2 linked regions of the Danio rerio genome follow. Each later gene encodes a partner of the first gene's protein in a complex. Links are inferred from orthologs where the notes say so. Each region holds a gene or a part of one and is shown on either strand. Other genes may lie near its edges. The genes, in order: plxnc1 and sema7a.

Region 1 (3,831 bases):
TACTCAACAAATTGATAGGTCCTCTGGCAGGTCACTCCTGCACCACTGCACCGAGCAGCTGTAGGGAGCAGCTGTTTTCAGCAGCAAGAAAGACCTCTTTTTTTCCTCTCGGGTTTTGCCTTCAATGTTGCACTGTTCATAGTGTGGGAAGAAAAGAGGCCTGCTCAGCTTAAACAAACTTTAATAAACATAAAGAGTCCTCTACTATTGTTGCTGCTCTTTGTCTTTTTGGAAGTCTTCTGTGGGACTCGAGACAGGCGTGTTGCACAGGTGTCTCTCATTATCCAGCATTCCCACATCATCCAACTTCCCTCAACCATTTTTACTCTACTCAAACAACACTGACATTTGTAAGGTGTTGTCTACTACAGTGGTTCAGTAAAGAAATGTTATCAGCCTCTGTTAAGTGTGTTGACACTTTCCCTTTTCGTTTCGATCTGGACATTATGTATGGAGGACCTATAAAACTCGGCCAGGTTTTTGAAGCTGCACTGAAACTGCAATTTCATATAGATGCACTCCTGCGCAGACTTGCTATTGACACATTCTGTATATTACCCAGCAGGCACACAACATTGTAAGACATTAATATTAGGTTAGATTTAGATCATGACGTCAATGTCTAGCCAGAGTCTGAGGACAACCTTATGTTTACATTTGTTAACAACATCAAATTACATTGATATTTGGTTGATTTTATGTTGTGTAGGAAAGTGACCATAGTGGTGATGTCCACACAACCTCAAGTTGTAACATGATTAGACGTTGCTAATTGGTTGATTTTAGGTTGGACATTGACGTCAGCCTGACGTTGGGTTTTGATGCTTGCATTTTGAATGCAATTTGCTCATTTAAGGGAGCTGTTTTGGTCCCTTAAATTTGTTAAGAGGAAATGGTTACTAAGGACTTTGTAGCAACGGTTAAGGGAACACTTAGATCATTAAGAGGGGAATACTTAATGCCAGCCTTAAATTCCTTTAGTTGAGCCTTGTAAGTTGAGTTTTGCTAACTATAGCCTTAACCTTCAAACTAAAGGATTTCTTAGCTTAAGGCCTATCATGCCATGGCCATGATCTTTATCAGCACTTTTTTTTTGTTTTGAAATTTGAATAGTCTCTTTTGGTTAGAAAGATATGGTTTGCAATAAAAACAAATACTTTTGATAATGTTCAGCCTTACAACACTATCAACTAGAGAAAATGTAAAAGCTAGGAGAGTGAGAAAAAGGAAACTCATAGGAAAAAGGAAAGAGAGGGAAAGGAAAAAAATATTCCTTATTGAATCTCCTATCTTATCTTCCCTTGGTGATTGGAGACCAAATGTCAGGTATCCCCCAAATTTGGGCATCCAGCAGTAACCCCAATAGTCCTTCAAGCTCTTACTTGTGGCAGTGTATAGCTGCAGGCTTTGGCATCCAGTGAATGATTGCGACTACTCTGTCTCCTGGTAGATGACAATCATCCCTCTGTGATCCAGCTGACACGGCAAACTCATCTGTCTATCCTAGCAAGTCATAACAGCTACACTAAAATGAGCAACTGTGGACAACAGCTGGTTTTATTCTCTTCCAAACTTTTCTCTCTAGCATTTTGATCCCCTTCAACATTTCATGCTCTTTTTTTCTTCCTATCGAGTTTTGAGAGAAAAAAAACAAAACTGTAGTCTTTCCAAACATACTGCTACTTGGTCCTAAACAAATTTAGATGCCCTCAAATGCAATGCAATATAATTGTACTGAATTGTACAATATGATTGTAAGATGGCTCACCCAACAAGTACTCAGCAGTACACTGCTCCGTCCTGTGGGATAATTGTTCCTCATTGTGGCGGAAATGAGCTTGAATGAAATTCCCCCTTTTGAGCATTTAGACTACTCCTTTGTTTTGTCATCTGAGACAAATTTGGAAAATCCTAAAAGAAGTCCTAGGCTAAAATCTGTGATCTTTGATCGTTGGTTTGACATGTTCAGTGACAGCCGCTTAGTGCCCGTTAAGATCAGATTTTTTCTCAGATGAAGTTCTAGCAGTGTAAAAAAGATTTCAGACATTTTACTGAAGTGTGACAACAGCTGCAATGTGCATCAATCCAAAAAGAGAATAGGAGCAGCAAATTTGATTTGATTAGAATTTAAATGACCGCTGGAAATGTCAAAACAGTTTTTTTCCTCCTGGTTTAATTATTGTGACTCGCTGTGTGCAAAATTGGCGCTACAGATTTACATTTCAGTCATTTCAGAACGCGAGAGAAAGTGTCACGGTGGATGATGTCAAACTCCGGAGGCGTTTTCTTTCATGTTTGGCGCATCTTCATTGTCGTTCAATCTGACTTTATGACACCTTAGATCTTACAGTGTGACATGGGAGCCATGTTTGTGCAGTCTGACATGCTACAATCGTTCAGGATGAAAAAAATTGCACAGTGTGAGCTGGCCGTAACACAAGTGCAACAAGCATCCGTTAGCAGTATTGATTTTTCTCGTCTTTCTTGATATTGCAATCCCCCTTAGCACCAAGGGCTCTTTTAAACATATGTCTCTTTCATCCTATTGCTTTGGCATTAATAAAAAGTTTTTAGTGTATTAAACAACAAAACTACAAAAGGAAAGAGGCAGCTGCCACCTTATTGAAGTACTGCACCATGGAACTTGTGACCTACATTTCTCATAGGCCTTAGTCAAGTTTGTGGCATAATCAATTCTTGACAAGAATTGAAATGAGGCCATAGTGTATAGAAGTAGATATCATTAGAATTGCACTGTTGTTTGTGTACAACATACTGATTGTTCAGTTGGTGGAAAAACTTTCATTGGCTATAAACGTAAGACAGCTATGTGATGTGGACTTCATACTCTTGCAACTGTGGCATATTTAATTGTTTATGTTTGTTTTGACAGGCTTTGTTGACTTGCAAACAGAAAAATCGGACTTAATTGATAACGTTGGAGCCATACCTTTCCTGGATTATAAACACTTTGCGTCAAGAATCTTCTTTCCAGAGGTTGAAGAGTTTTATTTATTTAAGTTTACTATTTGATGTTTATCGACTATTATAGACTTTTTAGGCATTTATTCTAAATTATAGATGTTTTTTCTTATATTCTTATATTCTTTAGGCTGGTACTCTAACAGCAGTCATGATTAGAGATATTGGGGAGGTAAGAATCTTACCATGCTTTCACAGACGAGGCTTCAATGCTGTTTCAAATGAAAGTATCTTGCACTCATTGGTCTTTAAATATATCAGGGTTTTGTTTTGTTTCAAAATGGACGCCAGTTGTGCTTTTTGTTTTTTGTAAGCCACATTTATAAAAAAAAAAAGTAATTTAAATATTGAACTTAAGTATAAACCATGTCTGTGAAACCATGCTTAAAGTTTTAACTCTATTACTGTCTTTTCTTGTGGCCAGGACTCTGAGCAAACAACTGTCGATGAGAAATGCCTGGCTTTTGCAGAGCTGATCAGAGATAAGCAGTTTCTCAGTTGTTTTGTGCATGCATTAGAGGAACAGAAAAACTTCAGCATTAAAGACAAGTGAGTTAAAAACAACTTGTTGTAGATGTTTTAAATACATTCTTACCTCTGTGTGATGGTTGGGGCTATTTTGATCGGTCTAGCTGTCAACAGAGATAATGTCTGTGTGTTTTCTATTCTGAAAATGTTGACCACACTGAAACATCAATGTGCTTAGTTTGTTTTTAAGTTAAAAAATACCTAATTGCCGTAATAGTTTTGCTTGAACTCTTGCCTGAGCAGCGTTTAAAAATTTAACTAAAATTGTTCATGCACATAATTGCAATATACATCAGCATGATTGATTTCATTCAATCTATT
Region 2 (3,689 bases), on another chromosome or scaffold:
GACTATAAATGGGATAGGGCAAACAGAGGGAAATTGGCCTGGACACCAAGGTTACACTTCTACTCTTTACAAGAAGTCCCATAGGATTTTTTAATGACAACAGAGACCTCGGTGTAATGTATCATCTGAAAGATGGCATCCACTGACAGTATAGTGTCCCCTTCACTAAACTAGGGCATTAGGACACAGACCGCAGGTTGAGTGCCCCGCTGGCCTCACTCACACCACTTCCAACAGCAACCTAGTTTTCCCAAGTGGTCTCCCATCCAGGTACTGACCAGGCTTAGCCCTGCTTAGCTTTAGTGTGGAACTGGTCTTGGGCTGCAGGGTGATATGGTTATGGCCATACATTTTGCTAGTGTGAAAGGCTGTGGAATTCTTTCTTCAATTTCTTTCTTCCTCATTCCTCATAAGGGTCAAGGTGCAGTTTTCAAACGGGCAATCAACACAAAATCCCTATCTTCATCACAGCCATAATGTAGAACAATAACCTTTTCTTCATAAATAATAAACTGAATCTTAAAGACCTTCACGCAAACACTAAATATATAGACAAAAAATAAAAACTTGCTTCAGGTTAACCACACTCCTGAAAACCTCTCTGCCTTTATTTGAACCAAAACTTTTTTAAAAATCCAAGTGACTATCGAGCAGATATTTATTTAATAATTTCTTGAATTTAATTTAAGTTCATGTAGGAGGGGAGGGGTGATAATAAGCAGTTCATATTTTATTCAAATTTAGTCCAGTGGCTTTTTTTTTTTTTTTTTTGTATTGGTAAAGATCAATGTTGAGGGTCAGTCTTAAAGTGCTTTTTGATGTTTATATATGAAATTTTCTTTGTAAAACAGTGTAATTCTCTCCCTGCAATTTTTTACATCTTGTCACAAAGCATTTTATTTCAGGGTTGTTTTTACTTGATTTTTTAAAAATTATTATTATTATTATTTTTTTTTTTTTTTGCTGTTATAAAAAAAACACATTACCAATTAAATGTATTACTATTCTAATTGTTAGTAATATTTACAGGGAATCTCCAAACATAATATCTGTGCAGCATGTAAAAAACGCTGTCAATGCTAAATACTGTATTTTCAGATTCCAAAGAGTTTTAGACTTTGGTACTCCACTGTACCAATTCAGCACATACTAAATAGATGGTTAACATATAATGGGAAGTTATCTTCTAGGATGTGCACTTCAGTGCTGACTTTGTAAGACAATTATCTTTGCCCACGAACCACTAGCCTCTTGACAACGTGACTGATGTTTTAATCAGCTTAAATGTCGTCAGAAATGCCTAAAGACAGAAGCACTTACATAACAAGCTTGACCTTAAAGTGAGCACAGATAGAAGGCACTCGTGACAAATGCTACCATTAGCTGCCGGTCTTGTATTTTCAGCTTGAAAGCATCATTAAAAACAGACTTAGCAAGGAGTTCATATTCTCTCACAACTTTGATGTAATCACGTTCCTGGGAAACACAACTGTAATTGCCATAATTCTCAGCCGTCATAGCTGGGATTAGGAGGAGGTATTCCGATTGGGTCTGTTGACATGGGTTGCTTTTGCCCCCGTGTTCCCATCTATAACTGGCATGATGTGAATCGACCGGACAAGATAAGTAGAAGGGGACATCAGTGGCCACAGTGTGTTGAATCCTTGAGGGAGCAGTAGATGACTGTTGAGCGTCTCGTCTAACTCTTCCCACTAAAAACATTTGTTAGAGATACATGAGATTGGAAGACTTATTTTGTCTTGTGTCTTAAAACAATTATTGGATTAGTTATATACCTGATTTGTGGTCACATACTTTAGTGACATTGCCATCAGAAATGTTTTGTATTCCTCCTCTGAAACAAAATCCAAACAGAAAAACATTATAGTCTCACTGAAATAAATGTCTTATTGTAGCAATGAAATAAAAATGGAGTCTTTGTATTTTTATGTGTATATAACTGTGCTAGTGGGCAACGCGGTGGCGCAGTACGTAGTGCTGTCGCTTCACAGCAAGAAGGTCGCTGGTTTGAGCCTCAGCTGGGTTGGCATTTCTGAGTGGAGTTTGCATGTTCTCCCCGTGTTCACGTGGGTTTCCTCCGGGTGCTCTGGTTTCCCCCACGAGTCCAAAGACATGCAGGACAGGTGAATTGGGTTAGCTAAAATTGTCTAAAATAAATGTATGAAATGTGCTAGTTATAAACAATATATATATATATATATTAGGGTTGTAACGGTATGAATTTTTTACGGTATGATAATCGTCTAAAACAATACCACGGTTTCGCGGTATACGGTATTAAATAGTAATTCTCATAGCAAAGACCCTGAAAAGAATAAGAACACGTTTTCTGACTGAACAAAGGTTTTTCTATGGGGGAAAAAAAATGCATTTATTTACTGACAATGTATTTGCCCAAAAGGTCTGGGAATGAACTAAACAGAAAAAAAATGTTACAAAATAATAGAACAGTGAAGCAAATTTGACTTTTTCCAAATAATATATTTTCAGTTACTATAAACAACACCACTTACAATGAACAAATAAAAAAAAAAGGAAATAATAAATAATGTGTCAAAGTCCAAATAAACATGGTGCAAATCCTCAGTAAAAAAAATAGATATAAATATTTACTATACTATAAATAGTTACATAACGAAACTAGATTCAATATGGAACATCCTTAGGTTTTATGTGCCAGCATGGATATGGTTGTCTGTGGATATGGATTTGGATATGGTTGTCTGCAATGCAGACAAACAGCTGCACCTTCATTTGCGTCTTTTGAAAACAGCAAGAGCAGCACTTCGTCTTTGCTGTGTCACTGTTTTGTCATGTTTCTGTGCTGCTGTGCATGCAAAAGTACTTAGTATGAGAATTATTTCATGCAAAACTTTTTTTTTTTTGCGTTTTATTTAGCCGCGCATAAATGTATGCCTATCTCTCATTCGGTGTTGTTCAAAAAGCTCATTGTTGGTCCACAAACAAAAGCGAAACCTATGCTTATTGGTTGTGATATAGCGAGTTTGAACCAATCTGGGCATGGAGAAAGGACAATGCATCAATGTATGTCTGGTTTGTCCGGAGACACAGTGACGAGCGTTTCTTTGTCAAATCAGCGTTGTCAAATTTTGATGACGTAACCGCACTGATTCTGGAGCCTCTGAAAGTCCGTAAATGTTATGTGATACGGCACTGGAAGATTCTCTTCTTTATGCCAATCTTTGAATTGTATGAATCGGATCAGCGGATCAAAAGTTATTAAACATTTAAGAGCAATACTTATTTTTAGCCGCGGGCGGCTGTCTCGGTCTTTAAGGGTTAAAACCGTTGATATGCAATTGTTCATGGTATGATAATCGTGCACGTTCAAATCGTGGTGGACCGTCATACCGGTATATTGTTACAACCCTAATATATATATATATATATTGTTTATAACTAGTATTCTTTATTAATCCGGGGTCGCCACAGCGGAATGAACCGGCAACTTATCCAGCAAGTTTTTACGCAGCGGATGCCCTTGCAGCTGCAACCCATCTCTGGGGGGAAAAAAATAATAATAAGTAATAAAATTATATATATATATATATAAAATATATATACATATATGAATAAAACCCAATAAATGAAGAAAACTCAAATCAATTGAGTACTGTAAAACCCAGTTAGTTAAGGCAACTCAAACC

What was found.
Region 2: the proteins of plxnc1 (region 1) and sema7a are in contact, whole or in part, in a crystal structure (PDB 3NVQ), measured with the Homo sapiens proteins. The link is inferred for Danio rerio from reciprocal best matches to the Homo sapiens genes PLXNC1 and SEMA7A. Residues at the interface, in NP_005752.1 of Homo sapiens: Arg131, Thr151, Glu152, Val153, Asn195, Pro196, Ala197, Ala198, Ser199, Asp200, His201, Thr203, Ala206, Lys208, Arg213, Ser214, Leu215, Ala216, Thr217, Gln218, Glu219, Leu220, Arg222, Lys224, Glu272, Ala350, Ser352, His353; in NP_003603.1 of Homo sapiens: Gln194, Tyr196, Asn197, Gly198, Lys199, Arg202, Arg204, Tyr213, Ser215, Asp216, Thr217, Gln270, Gly271, Gly272, Glu273, Ser274, Ser275, Leu276, Val278, Ser279, Lys280, Pro372, Thr375, Glu376, Phe378, Gln379, Asp382, Arg383.

The regions. Positions count from the first base shown.
Region 1 is NC_133179.1:18,895,379-18,899,209, reverse strand, and holds part of plxnc1 (plexin-C1), read left to right. Parts: intron 1-2,893; coding exon 2,894-2,997; intron 2,998-3,112; coding exon 3,113-3,154; intron 3,155-3,406; coding exon 3,407-3,531; intron 3,532-3,831.
Region 2 is NC_133200.1:29,209,872-29,213,560, reverse strand, and holds the end of sema7a (semaphorin-7A isoform 1 precursor), read right to left. Parts: intron 1,856-3,689; coding exon 1,797-1,855; intron 1,713-1,796; coding exon 1,336-1,712; 3' UTR 754-1,335; downstream 1-753. UniProt on the Homo sapiens protein: Plays an important role in integrin-mediated signaling and functions both in regulating cell migration and immune responses.